Arabidopsis thaliana: one gene and its partners. The protein of the gene in region 4 interacts with the protein of the main gene of each other region in a pairwise test. Each region holds a gene or a part of one and is shown on either strand. Other genes may lie near its edges. The genes, in order: AT4G08570, HB21, RD26 and ZFHD1.

What was found.
Region 1: the proteins of ZFHD1 (region 4) and AT4G08570 interact in a two-hybrid assay, tested with the Arabidopsis thaliana proteins (one study listed by BioGRID).
Region 2: the proteins of ZFHD1 (region 4) and HB21 interact in a two-hybrid assay, tested with the Arabidopsis thaliana proteins (one study listed by BioGRID).
Region 3: the proteins of ZFHD1 (region 4) and RD26 interact in a two-hybrid assay, tested with the Arabidopsis thaliana proteins (one study listed by BioGRID).

The regions. Positions count from the first base shown.
Region 1 is NC_003075.7:5,454,044-5,458,040, reverse strand, and holds AT4G08570 (Heavy metal transport/detoxification superfamily protein), read left to right. Parts: upstream 1-1,940; 5' UTR 1,941-2,065; coding exon 2,066-2,222; intron 2,223-2,622; coding exon 2,623-2,918; 3' UTR 2,919-3,461; downstream 3,462-3,997. UniProt on the Arabidopsis thaliana protein: Heavy-metal-binding protein.
Region 2 is NC_003071.7:8,048,695-8,053,300, forward strand, and holds HB21 (homeobox protein 21), read right to left. Parts: upstream 2,623-4,606; 5' UTR 2,520-2,622; coding exon 2,432-2,519; intron 2,192-2,431; coding exon 1,854-2,191; intron 1,206-1,853; coding exon 969-1,205; 3' UTR 677-968; downstream 1-676. UniProt on the Arabidopsis thaliana protein: Probable transcription factor.
Region 3 is NC_003075.7:13,707,330-13,710,926, reverse strand, and holds RD26 (NAC (No Apical Meristem) domain transcriptional regulator superfamily protein), read left to right. Parts: upstream 1-1,913; coding exon 1,914-2,122; exon of another isoform or gene 2,123-2,180; coding exon 2,181-2,472; intron 2,473-2,555; coding exon 2,556-2,999; 3' UTR 3,000-3,027; downstream 3,028-3,597. Other genes in the region: AT4G27415 (uncharacterized protein), read right to left, coding at 241-375. UniProt on the Arabidopsis thaliana protein: Transcription factors that bind specifically to the 5'-CATGTG-3' motif and with bipartite regions with 5'-CGTr-3' and 5'-YACG-3' as cores.
Region 4 is NC_003070.9:26,180,164-26,184,122, forward strand, and holds ZFHD1 (zinc finger homeodomain 1), read left to right. Parts: upstream 1-1,992; 5' UTR 1,993-2,306; coding exon 2,307-3,035; 3' UTR 3,036-3,383; downstream 3,384-3,959. UniProt on the Arabidopsis thaliana protein: Transcription factor involved in the up-regulation of several stress-inducible genes. Acts as a transcriptional activator by interacting with MED25 and NAC proteins. Involved in increased drought tolerance.

The DNA of each region.
Region 1 (3,997 bases), on a different chromosome or scaffold from region 4:
CCTATTTAGCATAGATTGGTTAATGCCTATCCACCATATGAATAATTAAAAATAGTTATCGAGCCAAAATGTATACTATAATCTTTGGCTGTGTTCAACGAAAGCAATTATGGACGAGCGCGGTTCCCTCATTTATTACTTAAATTGTAGATATTGCTCCATGTAAGAATATAAGATACTGACTATATATTGACTAATGTATTACTCCAATTTAACGGAAATAAAGGTGACACATGTACTCAATCAACAAGATGAGTTATTCATAATGTAATGAAATGGGACATATCAAAACTTGAGTGGTAGAGTTGCTGCCTCTTAATTACAAACAGTTTGAAAGCAACCCCTCCTTCTAACTAAATCTGATATTGCTCCTTATTATAGAACATGTGGTTGCAATTTTGTGCACACATATAGAGTTTCTGATGATTTTATTCATTCACCATAAATTGTATTTGGTATAATGATTGATGCGAGAGATCACTTCGTAATAGTGGATGTTTTCTTCAGATAGTCGCTACATGTTGAATTGTGGTAAGCTTATTTCTACTAGTAGTGTTATATAATCTCAATGAATTGTATAGCAACAGGTGGTACTTTAAAATACATATTTTGAAAACAAAACTTCTCATCGCATCAACAATTCTACTTTGACTTTGAGCCAGATGTCTTGGCAACAAATCGGAGTTTACATGAATGTCATTTTCATTTGTATTTTTGTTTACATATTATTGTCAATTCATTTAAATTTTAAATGCAACTGACCCCAATCAAAAACTTGGATCAATGTCTACCGTTGAAACATGACACACAATTACTAACTGCCATGTGTCCTCCAAAATTGATAAATCACTCCTCAGTTATTTACGTCTGCGTTTAATTTTTCAAACATTTGACTGTTCCCTATCTCATAAGTCATAAACTAATACTCATTATCTTTTGTTATTTCCCACTTTTTGAATTAGTAGATTTTAAATAATAAAAACGAGACATGGTACGCTTACAAAAAAAAAAATTATGAATGCCAAAATGCAAAGACTGGTAAATATGTCACATATATTTTATATAATTATTTCAAGTTAAATATTTTTCTTTTTTTTTTAACGTTTTTTATGGACGTCTTAAACTTTCCAACATATTTCTTTTTTTTTTTAAAACTTTCCAACATATTTCTTTTTTTTTTAAAACTTTCCAACATATTTATGATTTGGAATATAGATTACCTCCATCAAAATTCATATAATATAAATATATTATTTATTTGTTTTATTTAGAAATAAACAAACAACGATCGGCCAAAAAAACAAAAAAACGAGAAAAACTGAAAAAGTATTCGTACGTATTACCCACCCAAACTTGCATGGGTTATATATAAGGGTGTGTTGGCAAAATAGTCACTTTTTCATACTTAATTAGGAAAGTAGTCATTTTACTATTCATAATTTGTAAAATAGTCATTTTTTGCTGTTTGATTCGTACACTTAGATTGTACATCACTTTTAGTGTACAAATGTAAAGTGTACGCTGTATATTTTTATATATATTTGTACACTAAAAGTGGTGTACAATCTAAATGTACGAATCAAACAGTGAAAAGTGACTATTTTACAAATTATAAATAATAAAGTGACTATTTTTCCAATTAAGTTTAAACAAATGACTAGTTTACAAATTAACTCTATATATAATGGATTAAATGCCAAAAGTTTCATTTCACCTCGGTGGAAGTTTCTTGCACCCTCCACGAGACCCCAAAAGCAATTAATGATCTTTGTTTTGTTCTTTCAGAAGCAATAATGTAATCCTATTTTATTTTGTTTTTACTAAGCAAAAGAAAAACAACTCAACAAATAAACAAATAATCTGCTATTGTCACATGAGTCACATCTCCTTTACTATATGAAATGCGCTCACTGTAGATAAATGTAATCTCATCCCTGCACCATATATGGTACAAAGAAAGAGCCTTTCTTCCTCACTTTTATCTTCACTCTCCTTGAACATATTTTCCCTCTTAATATCTTCAAGGAAAAAAAAAAAACTGCAAAGAGAAGTGGTGTGAGTGAAAATGGGAGTGGAAGGAACGATGGAGTATATATCAGACCTTTTAAAGAAGAGGAAGAGGAAGAAGAAGAAGCAAATGCAAACAGTAGCTCTCCGTGTTGCTCGTATCGACTGCGAAGGCTGTGAACGTAAGATCAAACATGTCCTCTCCGGTGTCAAAGGTAAAGAAAATCAGTTTTAGCCAACCATCATGATAATGGTTAGAGATTTGCCATGTTGGTCGAAACCACGGATCAAATTCATTCCACTACTTTTGTACATGCCCCGTCTAAAGCATAGAGCCATAGACAAAGAAAATCATTAATATATGATATATCTAACATTTTTTAAATGCCAACTTTTATTTTAAAAAAGTAGATTTTTCTATATATGTACAAAAATAATATGAATGGGGTATAATTAAATTTTAAATCTCGAGTGGACATATTGGCATTACAATATGTGTTTTTGAATATATATAACACTACCAATTTATATACTCGTTGGACGATAGAAAATGTGACATTTAACAAAAAAAAACATGAAAATTGGATTTAATTTGCATTGGACTCGTTTGGACAGGGGTGAAGTCAGTGGACGTGGACGTAAAGCTGCAGAAGGTAACGGTAACGGGATATATAGACCCAAAGAAGGTTTTGGAGGCTGCCAAGTCAACGAAGAAGAAAGTGGAGTTATGGCCGTACGTTCCTTACACAATGGTGGCGAATCCGTACATATCTCAGGCGTATGACAAGAAGGCACCACCAAACATGGTTCGGAAAGTCCCCGACACGGCCTCTGTCAACGAGACCACCGTCGATGACTCTTACACTATTATGTTTAGCGACGAGAACCCTAATTCTTGCGCTATCATGTAGAAGAGTGTGCTTTTGTAAATTAATTAAGTATATGGCTATAGATTATATTATACTATTATATATTATCGGTTTTGGTAATAGTACCTACGTAAGAGTCGTGGTGTACGGGTTTGGCTTTACAACTATTACGTGAGAAAATCGAGATTTCTTAACACTTATAAGGAATTTAAATAAGAGGTTTTATAGATAGCTAAATTATGTTTTGAAATATTCTGCTGATGAGTGGATGATATATAATTCATTCGTTTAGAGTATATTCACTTTTTATTTTGGATAACTTGGGTGTGATCCAGTTCAAAGGATACCATAAACTCCGAGTCAAATCGCGGAGGCTTTTTTCCCAAGCTGGTTCTCGGGTCAACGAGTCATGAGCAGAGCGTGCCTAGGTTTTTGGTGGTCTTAGGCAAATAAGGAAAAACATTTTATACATATTGTGATAAAATGTCTGATAATGTATAATTAAATTTAACATATTTTTCAATAATTCCTGAATTTTTGCTTTCACCGGATTATCGGGTACTCTTATGAAATAGATTTTCGATTTAAGCTCGGTGTTCACAAGTTGGAGAAAAAGTTCGGTATATCTAAGACTCACTATATACTGATAATTTTAAAGCATATAAGCTAAACAAATATATGGTGACATGTGTTTATATAAAAAAAGATGATACATTCGGTTCCTCAGTAGCTTTAGCTTTGCCCTTTGATTGGCCCTTATAACTTAATGATGGAGTTCCGGTGCTTCCATTTTTTCTCTGTTTGATCCTGATTAAAGAAAACAGAGACATCAATCAAATAAACTAAAGTAAAATGAATAAGCCAAAAGCAAAATTATACAAGTGAATCAAAATATCGAAACTAAACGTAGAAGACCAAGATTGTGTTTATAAGTAGAGAGGAATATTATCTTTCACTCATGATTGACTACCAACGACTGTTTTTTTAAGAAAAAAAGGTGTTTAGTTCATAATATTTTTTGTGAAGATAAATCTTGATGGAAAAATATATTTATAAGAACTGATATTAGATGTTGGTTTTGATAAAATTAAAATATGAAATATTCAAAATAGTCAAAGATT
Region 2 (4,606 bases), on a different chromosome or scaffold from region 4:
TTGTGTTTGTATACCATTAGCCATTTATTTTCCACCATGCAATTAAATATGCATGATAAAAAGTCCTTAAAAGGCACCACATAGTTTATATAGCTCATATAACGTTCTTTAAAGAAATAAAAAACATATGTCCACCGTCCATGTTGAAACACGTACTTAGCAACCTGACAAGAAGACATGCTTTAGTTTCTATCAGGCTATAGATTCCAATGACCAATAGTCCGTATTCTAAACCGTACAAATTCTTATACGTATCATACTATCACGTATTGATGATGCGTAAAGTTGCTAATGGAGACGTTCACTGCAAATAAAAGAACATTCTTCCCCATAATGTAAAATATGCGACTTAAAAAATATCAAAATATTGACATACGCAATTCTTAATACTAAGCTCAATTTCTTTAAATAACTTATATTTTTACATGATAAATAGGAATAACAAAATAATTCTTCTTTATAAAAAAAGAAAAATTCGTAATACATTCTCAAACTGGTTATACGGTTTTGTTGATTGATTGTAGCATTTTTGTTTTCAACATATCCAATTTTTAAAGTGTATCTTGTTAGTTAGATTGTTGGTTATCCGGGTATTAATTTTAGAAGATATGTTTAACGATGTGAATGTAGTACTGAATACAATTTGGATGCTTTGACATTCACATGAATGATAATATTTATGCTTAATATTTCTATAACTAGATCAATAGAAATATACAATTTACTTATAATTGACAGATATATACATTCTTTTTTTCTTGGGTCCAAACTTGACCTCCATCGACCTAAATAATCGATGCTACGAGAAAGATATCCACAATATTACACTAGCGAATAGGCCCATAATTTTATCTACATCCTGCTTCATTGTAGATATCGACCAATCATAAATTAATGTAATTGTCACAATTAACCCCTATATATTTATATACTATACTACGACTGAAAATAGATTAGCTTATAGTTTTTTACATAAATTGGCTCATCCAGTCTAATCCATCAATGTAATCTGGCGAGTAGAGCAAGTTCTCGTCAGCCTCACCGTCAAATCCGATGTCGTAATCTCCAAAAAACGGTGTCGTATGATTGGCTTCAATGGTCACAGAGGATGAGATAGGACTGTTACTTAAAGTTCCTTCAACTCTTTTTGCAAGCCGTTGGATCTCTCTTTCAGCCTCGTAAAGTTGTTCCTTTAGGTGAATAACCTGAAATTATAATTTGATTTGATTTAGAGATAATCATTTCCCATTAACAGCTAATCATGTTATTATTAGAGTTTGATTTGATGAGTTTTATTTTGTGGGGCTGGTGATAAGAGAGACCCAATGAGTCAATGACTTAGACAAGCGAGTAACCACTAGAAAACAAAGGGTGTTTGTACGGAAAGATAATTACATATAATGACACTTTTGTTTTTTTGCTGTTCACTTTGCTGTATGATTTTCTTTTATAGAACCAAGATAATTACACTACAATTATTAGTTTACATATATTACTATTTTAGCTATAGAAGGTAACAAAAAAAAAAACTTTAAAATTCAATCAGCATTTTGATTTTTCTTTCTCATTTGCTTAATTATACTACGTGATGGTTTCACTTGGTGTCCATCATCTTGTAAAAACAATATAATTTAGAAAATATCTTTATACCTTATAGAAAAAAATAACAACATTTTTTGGTAAAACACTATAATATTTTATGTTCACAAATAGGAACTCTTGATTAAAAGAGAAAAACGGGTAACTTTTATCTTTGATCAACTTAAATAAAAGCTATAACTATATTATATTTAAAGATTATTAACCAAAATACCAAATAATTTACTTATCTTTTAGAAAATGTGAGAACGTACCTCAGAATCAAGACGACATTTCTCAACGACGGTGGTTTCGTATGCATTCTTGAGTTTAGTGTATTCATCCTCGACTCGTTTGTTCTTCCACCGTGCACGGCGGTTTTGGAACCAGACGGCGACTTGACGAGGATCAAGCCCTAACTCAGAAGCAAGCCGATCTTTCCTCTCGGATTCAAGCTTATGATCGTCTTCAAAGCTAATCTCCAACATTCTTACTTGCTCATCACTCAATTTTCTCTTTCTAAACCACCCATTGCCTTCGTTTTCACCCTCCTCTGCCACCACAACACTCTTGCTCTTCCTTTTCCTCCGCCGTGTTGGTTTTGCTTCTCCTCCTGGTCAAAGAAACCCATCAAAACCAATGGTACAACAAAACATAAATTCTTTAAATGTTTAGCTCTTTTAAGTCTTCTCTAGTATCATGTACGTATATGAAAATGAAAAGACTACAGAAGACAAACATATTATCCAGAACAAAAATAAAGAAGACCCACTTGAAGATATTTCTATAACCAATTTTGGATGTCTTTTTTAATATATGAAAACAAAAAAATGGAACTTTAGGATGTGCAAACCTTGTTGTGGTACTAATGGAGTATAGACATTAGGGTACAATTGAGAAATGAGTAGAAGATTATGATCATCTACATTCTGGTTATTCATGTTTCTTCTTTTCGTTCTCTAGACCTTCTTCTTCTTCTCTCTCTTAGATTCAAAAGATTGGTGATGTTTTTTGTCTCACCTTTTCTGCAATAAGAGAAGATGTGTTAGGAGAAGCAGAGGACTTATCATTTATAAAGGAGGAGTAGGTGTCAAGGGATGGTTTGATTAGAGTTTTTTTTTTTCTAATACATATTTCTTTTTTCCGGATTTGGGCTTATGATTCTTTCAAATAACATTATTGCCACTTAGCAAATCAAGACTAGTAGTAGATCTCAAATGACATATGTACATCACTTTCGTTAATATCTTAATAGTTAATATTGTTTCATATTGAAAATACATGACTTTAACTTGACAATATCATTTTCTTTGTCAAATTCATGTGACAATAAGTAAGAGACCAAAAAAAAAAAAAAGAATAAACAACCTCCCAATATTATTTGGACTATAAAATCATTTTATGTTTTTATAATTTGGTAACAATTGATAAATGGATCATTTTATGTTTTTATATATAAAATAGAAATCTTAACTAGAATTGAAAATTTATAATGCGGATATATTGTTTACGTAGGAATTTTCTAAAATATGCAGCCTATAGTTCAATAACTTTTCAACTAAACCGCCGTAGTTTAATTTATTCGATCTTTGTTGTAGATCTTACACTTTGTTGGCAATTTGGAACCAAAACTCACTTAATTACTAGAGCTCCTAAATAGTGTGTGTTTTGACATACAAACCCTTGATTATCTTAAGAAGCATAAACAAGTTAATTAGTTCATGTAAATTCTTATCAAAACAAAAAAAGTCTTATGAAACATATTCCATTTTTAAAATGCTTCTTAAGGTATGGATATTAACACGTACGTAGTCTTTAAAACCAAAGCAATAATCAATATATAGGTCGCCTTTGAAAAACTAAAGGAAATACATGTAATTATCATTTATAAATATGTAATGCGATAAAGCTTAATTTACGTGTGATGAGAGGATTAGAGGATGTCGTTATCACCATCATATGGATAAGTCTAAGCAACAACCTAAAAGAGAAAACATAACTGACTTGTCTTTCAAAAGGTAGTTTACTTTTACTCTCATCTCTCGTATACTAATAATTTTACTCACTCTTTCAAATGTTTTCTTTAATCGGTTTTTAAACTCGAAACATATATGGTCTACGTTAATGTTAACGTTTATTTTGTTGTATAGCCAAAATGGAAACACATTTTAGGTTATTCAGAGTTTAAAATAATAAATACGAGGTAATCGTTTTTCTTTTTAGCAATGATCAACATATATTTTGAACATACGTATGCATATGTACATACTGTAAAAATAACATTTCATAAATAAATAACAATATTCTGCATATAGAATCCATGTAAAACCGTGGTAAGTTATATTCAAAGAACAAAGTAACCTTCAAAATTTGGGTTTAATACATATACCTTAAAATTCAAACTACTCTACCCATTTTGAACAACTATTTTGTTTTGTTTTCTTAGAAAACGTTTTTACAAATGTTGACATACCCAGATTATATCTTTACCCATTTTGAATAATTGTTTTTCCTGTTTTACATTCTGAATAATTTAGATATATATATGACTTAATGTTATATATATATATATATATATATATATAGATATATTAAAATAAAATATATAATTTTAATATAGAAAATATATATATTGTGGAAAAAATGGCTAATTGTTAGTGAACGAGACTTCAGTGAGATCTACAGAAGAAGAATCTCAAAGATCCATGAAATTTAGGTCAAATCGGTTGAGATTTTAAAACTTAACTCTATGATACCATATTAGTGAACGAGAATTTGAAAAAAAAACGAAGAAGATGAAATTATTCTGTTATTCCTCTTAAAGATTCCGTTACAATGATACACTCTATTTGTATAATTAGAGTATTCGGTTAATCATGGATAATCTAACGTTTGATTCCTGGTTTACATAACCAATTTATATATTCAAATGAGTTAAAGTTAAGCTTTAAAACGAAGAAAAAAAAATGCTTAAAACCACGAAAATCAGTGTACGTACACCTTAATACACAAAAAAGTACATACATCA
Region 3 (3,597 bases), on a different chromosome or scaffold from region 4:
TTATTCTCTAAACAAATATTAAAATGATTTAAACGTCACCAACGATATTTATCGCAAAAGTGGTAAATTTCTGTCAATTAAAATGTATTTTTGAAAAAAAAGTAGAAAAATGTTATTAAAATAAAATAAATTCATTGAAGAATTTTTTGAACAAGTTTAGATTATGGCAATCTGTTCTTTACCTCATTGTCATCAAAACCATATCTCTTAATTTATTTTTTTGTCAGGATCATAAGAGCATTATACGCTAATTGAATAGCGATTGATGAGTTTCTTATCAACACATTTTGCAGTTATGCGAATCGTTGAACCAAACTTGTCGTATCTTTGCTGATATTCAGAAATTATTATCTTACAAAAGAAATGGGTGGGCATGTCCATCTCTCTGTGAACAAGAATTCTCCACGTTCACTAAAATCTAAAAATCCGAAAAGCAATTGAAAACGATTTGTAGAGAATAATAATAATTAAGAACAAAAAAAAAAGAATTATCAAGAAGAAGAAGAATCGAGTTCTTTGAATCGCGTCACATGTTTATATATAAAAAGGCTTCTCTGACCTGTTCAGCATGGTCCAAATATTCACTTGTCAACTTCTTAGGCCATTTCTAGTATTTCTTGAGTGAACGAAACCCTAATTAACCTCTTTTTGTTTAAATATAAACTAAAATATATGAAATAAGTCTTTTATGAGATAATCATTGAAATATATATAAAAATCGAATTTAGTTGTTCTGACAAAACTTGAAATTTATCCTTTAATCAAAAACAAAGAGACTACTTGCTACATTTGTGAGATAATCTTAATGGTATAATACAAACGATCATATATTCTCAAATGTTATTATCTTTAACTAAAAAATATTAAAATCATACTATTAGTGTTCTGTATATACGTGTCTTATGTTAACGTATCTTTTCAATTTATTTTAGTTAGAACTTTGTAGTTTGTACACTTGTTCAATATTTTCTGCTGTTTTTATTATTACTTTTTCTTCTTTTTTGTCTCTTTTGATTCTTTTATATTGAAGTCTTGCCTAACTCTCCCAACACGTGTACAATTCACACGGACGGGAAAATGCATTCCACGCGTGTCTGATTAATACTCTTTTGTTCATAAAAACGTCTTAGTGCCATTTGTTTTACTCAATAGATTTATCTGTCAAATAGTTAGTGCTTCTTCTTTTCTTTTTCTGACTCCAATCTATGTAGTGATCGAGTGCTTCAGGACAAACTAAATATCGAACTGGCCTCTAATTATTTGGAGCATTTTGATACACATCGTTGTTAGGCTTTTGATCAAAATTCTAGAAGAAAGGACAACTGGCTTAACACGTGTCGATAAACTTTAGCTTTTCCTGACGGTTCATGCACCCGAACGGCACCAATATAGTCGAATATAGAAATAATAAAGCTTCATTGCTTTCTCAGTGGAAAAAAACTTACTATAATTAGAATATTTCTAGTAAATATTTAGACATTTTACATGTCACGATGGAATAAGAAAAAATAAATTACTGCAATCACTCAGCGGACTTTTCTCATAATCGTAGTACACAAATTTCTTACTCATGAGAAAATTTTCCTCGTGTTTTTTGCACATTTATATCGCTGGAAAATATTGTACAACACATCGATAAGGTCGGCCAGTTCATAGACGTGGCAGTATCTAAATGGTTAAACGGGTCCACAAAGAAAATCGTAATTAGATTTTAGAACAGTAAGACAAGGACGACCGTACTTATCCTTGAAGAACCTTTGGCTTTTCCGTAGCCTATATAAACCAACTACTTACTATATTGTCCAAAAGATCGACGAACATAAAAACAAAAACATATAATTTGGGTTTTTAGAGTTCGAAACTTGAAATCTTTTTTTTTTTGGTTGCTGAGGAATCGAAGTAGAAGAGTATAAATGGGTGTTAGAGAGAAAGATCCGTTAGCCCAGTTGAGTTTGCCACCAGGTTTTAGATTTTATCCGACAGATGAAGAGCTTCTTGTTCAGTATCTATGTCGGAAAGTTGCAGGCTATCATTTCTCTCTCCAGGTCATCGGAGACATCGATCTCTACAAGTTCGATCCTTGGGATTTGCCAAGTAAGCAAACATGTTTCACATTTGTAGGGTGTTATTTTCAATTGTCATACTTTTGGGTTTAATTTGAGAAAATGTTAAAACTAAAGGGAGTATAATTGTAACTATTTAGGTAAGGCTTTGTTTGGAGAGAAGGAATGGTATTTCTTTAGCCCAAGAGATCGGAAATATCCGAACGGGTCAAGACCCAATAGAGTAGCCGGGTCGGGTTATTGGAAAGCAACGGGTACTGACAAAATTATCACGGCGGATGGTCGTCGTGTCGGGATTAAAAAAGCTCTGGTCTTTTACGCCGGAAAAGCTCCCAAAGGCACTAAAACCAACTGGATTATGCACGAGTATCGCTTAATAGAACATTCTCGTAGCCATGGAAGCTCCAAGGTAAATAAAGACTGAAACTTTCCCAGATCCAAATTCGTTAAAATTGAAATCAAAATCTGATAAAGTTTGCTTCTTTGTTACAGTTGGATGATTGGGTGTTGTGTCGAATTTACAAGAAAACATCTGGATCTCAGAGACAAGCTGTTACTCCTGTTCAAGCTTGTCGTGAAGAGCATAGCACGAATGGGTCGTCATCGTCTTCTTCATCACAGCTTGACGACGTTCTTGATTCGTTCCCGGAGATAAAAGACCAGTCTTTTAATCTTCCTCGGATGAATTCGCTCAGGACGATTCTTAACGGGAACTTTGATTGGGCTAGCTTGGCAGGTCTTAATCCAATTCCAGAGCTAGCTCCGACCAATGGATTACCGAGTTACGGTGGTTACGATGCGTTTCGAGCGGCGGAAGGTGAGGCGGAGAGTGGGCATGTGAATCGGCAGCAGAACTCGAGCGGGTTGACTCAGAGTTTCGGGTACAGCTCGAGTGGGTTTGGTGTTTCGGGTCAAACATTCGAGTTTAGGCAATGAGAGAGATGTGAAGTTACTGATGGGTGAAAAAAGTAAAAAAAAAACTTGGAGATAGTAGAGTGGCAATTGATGTAAATAATAGGGATTTATATGGGGCTTTTACCGATTCGGTGAGGCTTAGGATTCCACAAAGGAAAAAGGCTCGACTGGGGACTAGTTTGATCCAACTTGACGGCCCACAAATGTGTAATGTTTCTCAACGGAGAGAAAAATAAATGGTTACCAATATTTTTACACCGGTTATGTGTTGATACCATTTGCACAAAACGGTTTAAGTTCTGAATTGAATAACTTAACACCCAAAATTTGGTAAAAAGCTTAATACAAAAAGTTCAAAGGCATTTTCGCTTACTGCGACACTCGGAGTTGCAGAGTACTCTACGTAACAGACTCTGTTCATAGAGTTTGCGGCACCGGTGGTGGGACATTCTTGCGGACACAGTATGTACTTTTGGAAGCATCGTTCCTAAGGGTTGCTGCAGTAAACTCCTTGTGACTTGGCTCGCAAGAAACATAACATGGCCGCAAGAAAAAACAGCATTAACGAAGAGGTGTTTGAGATCTTCATGTCTAGTTTATTCTTCCTGTTTTATTATGT
Region 4 (3,959 bases):
TTGCATCTCCGGTTTAGCTATGCATATTTGTGACCACGTCTCTTTAGAGACAAATTGCTTACGGTAGTTATCGTTTTTTATCTAGTCTTTGTTTCTGTTTATTTTTCTAGTAGTGAATTTTAGCATTTGTTATTTATCTAATTAAGTCTTACTTTGTGTCATTTACCTACTTATTCAATAGGTATATACATAGATAGAAACGTTACGCAAAAATGACCCCATGATCATATGACATTTAAAATTTCGGCTACAAATGACTTTTTCTCCAACCTTAGTGGCCGGTTTGCGGGATGCGCGTGCTATTTCGGTCATTGACAAGATCGTTAGGAGATTGTTCTAATCCGTCTTTATGATTCTAATTGTGATACGAGTAAATAAATTGTTAAATCAAAGTCTCTGTCAACGAATTATTAGTAAAACAATAAATACGTTTATTTAATTATTTTTATTGTATGGTCAAATATCTCCCGATTGTTGTAAATTGGATTCTAATTAAGCGTGATTGGTGACTAGGTTTATGATAAACGACAAAACGTAACACCAACTGTTATTCATTTATTCTCCTCGCAAACAATGCTTTAATTAGTCTCATTTCAGGGATCAGACTCTTAACTATACATTAATGAATAATTTATATGCCTTTCAATAAGATTTTAAGTTAATTAAACGAGTATCCAAAGCTTAACGAAATGAATGTTGATGTCTGATTTGTTTTGTTACTTTAATTCTAAAGAGTAAAGACCTTAGTAATTATAATTAATAACAAAATTAGCCATGCAGTTTGATCTTACCAATAACATTCACATGTAGTAACATTGTAACTTATAAGAAAAGGTTCATCATTTTTTTCATGAATGGATCATCATAAAAGTAACAATAACTAGTCACAAAATGTTCCTTCAATTTTTATTTTTTTGATAGAAACTATATTTGTTGTAAAAACAAACCCTATAAGAATCGATATGGAAAATGGCTAATGAAGATTCAAAATAATTGTGGGGTACTTAGAAGAGGAAGACTTGAAGACATACACCACATAATTGTGACCCAAAAGCTAATCAATAACGTAAGCAAAATGCGAAAGAACACTAAATTTCGGCGCCACACTAATGACAAGAAGTGAGAATAAAAGGTCGGTAAGAGATAAGAGTCTTTCCAAAGGGTGGTTAAGGAATTTAGACATTTAAATTTCATGATTAATTACGAAACATGAAGTTTGGCAATTGTCACAACAAACTCTTCTTTGCTCCACGATTGAGTCAAGTATTAAGTATTCGTGCGAAAGAAGTTCTTTTAGAGGTGTTTTCGGTAATCTACAAAATCTTCTAGTTGTTTAGCACTTTTCCTTTTGGAACGAATTAGTACATTAGCATAAGTCAAATATTTCACTAGAACACGTAATACCTATACTAGTAAGAAATTTTATTGACTTTATTGTTTAGTTAGATTATCGTTATAGGAAAATTTACGATTTTAGACCTCTAGATAAGAAAATGGTCCCTAAACAGAATCAAAATTGAAAAGATTAAAACGTTTTAGTATAAAAATGCAGGGGTGATACAGTGAAATTAACAGAAGTATGGGGTGGTAACGTAAACTCTTAAAAATAAGAAACTGTAATATGTACAGTGGAATATGAAACTGCAGGGCAGCTGTAATTGTCCTTTAGTACGATGCATGTAATGGGCTATTGCCACGTATACACTTTGGACTCAAATCTTCCAACTAATCCCATCCTCTCCTTCGAATATATTCGATTAATTAAAATTTTATGTCACGCTCAGAAATTATTCATCTTTTTTATTTCTTTTACACAACAAGTTACCCACTGGTGAAAGTGAAAACCCATATCTTACAAATGTCCCGTAAAATCATTGCTTTCTGATAAGACCTCAGATTCAATATTTTATACAGGTTCAAAGTGTATAGTCTGTCTATATAACGTATGAATAGATATCAAAACTAGTGACTAAAATATTCAAAAAAATCTCTGTTTCACCAAAACAAGAAAAAAAAAAAGTAAAAAAGAAGTTGTGAATTTTCATTGATATACAGTGAGTGTTTTCTTTCTTTTGCTGTATGTTTTGGACGTTTGTGAGTAAGCACTTATTATTATTTTCCAAGTCCTAATTATATTTCATCACTGCCATGTTCTTTACCGATATAATTACATCATCGTCACATGCACTTACATAATTATCCTTTTTTAATAAATAAAATAAAACTACAAAACCTAATCTTCTCATTAATCACAAAAGCAAAAGATTTAAGTAAACACACTATAAAGACAGAACTAAACAAAAGCTATGGATTTGTCTTCCAAACCACAACAACAACTTCTAAACTCTCTTCCCATCGCCGGAGAACTAACTGTCACCGGAGAAATGGGTGTTTGTTACAAAGAGTGTTTGAAAAACCACGCGGCTAATCTCGGCGGCCATGCTCTCGACGGTTGCGGCGAGTTTATGCCGAGTCCCACGGCTACTTCCACCGATCCTTCTTCTCTCCGTTGCGCTGCTTGTGGCTGCCACCGTAACTTCCACCGCCGTGACCCTTCCGAGAATCTCAACTTCCTCACCGCGCCTCCGATTTCTTCTCCCTCCGGCACTGAGTCGCCGCCGTCTCGTCACGTGTCTTCTCCTGTTCCTTGCTCTTACTACACCTCAGCTCCTCCACATCACGTGATTCTCTCTCTCAGCTCCGGTTTCCCTGGACCGTCAGATCAAGATCCAACGGTGGTTAGGTCAGAGAACAGTTCAAGAGGAGCAATGAGGAAACGAACAAGAACCAAATTCACGCCGGAGCAGAAGATCAAGATGAGAGCCTTCGCAGAGAAAGCTGGTTGGAAAATCAACGGATGTGATGAAAAGTCGGTGAGAGAGTTTTGTAACGAAGTTGGGATTGAGAGAGGAGTTCTTAAAGTGTGGATGCATAACAACAAGTACTCACTTCTCAATGGCAAGATCAGAGAGATCGAACATGGCCTGTGTCTGAACACTCACAGCAATGATGGTGATGGGTCTTCATCTTCTTGAAGAAAGATTCAAGATTCGGGTTAAACCGAATTAGGATACTTTAATTTGGGAAAATATGAGCATTAACCGGTTTAAAATCATATAATAGTGTCTTTTCTCTAACATGTAATCGATCTTGATATAAATATTTATGCGGTTTGATCTTTTCTATTTTCATCACTTTGACAGAGATGTGGTCAGAGATCACAAATGGGTTTGGTAATAAATAAGTTTTTAAATCGGAGGTTGAAACGAATTTTGATAGACCATTTCTAATTATAGTAAGTGCATAAGCGCTAATTGTGATCGTAGAGATCAAAAGATTCGTTTCTTTGTTTACTTTCTGATTATTCAATGTTATCTTCTGTATTATTAGAAATAAATCTCCTGAACTTTAGAGATAGAGTAAGTAAAGTTTGCTTAATGAAGATACGACGACGTGGTTATTACGAATTGCAACAAACTATGGCGTGGCGGAATATAATTAGGTCACTGGGCGGCACATTTTTGTTGTTAATTTATATGATATGATTAAAAGTTATTAAAATGCTGGCTTATCTCTTTCCATTTAGGGATAAGCTTTGGCAACACCAATCTTGCTTATTTATCCTAATTAAGTACAATGCAGATGTTACGATTACTAAAATATCTACTATGTGCAATGATTTGGCTCTTCCCGCACCACTGATATTAAAAATTCGTTTTTTTTCTTTCATTCATCATGTATTAACGAATCATAGCGAATGCTTTATCACGTATAAATGGTCGTAAGTTCAATGCCGGAGACAAAGTATTTTACCATGTATGTACGAAGTAACGAAGCCCAAGCCTTAACAAAAGGCCGGTACGAATATCCATGCCAGATAGATCAATGTATGCAAAAGCTCTATGTAGATACGAGTAACTGCATGCAATGATTAATGATCAATATATGGTACACAAATT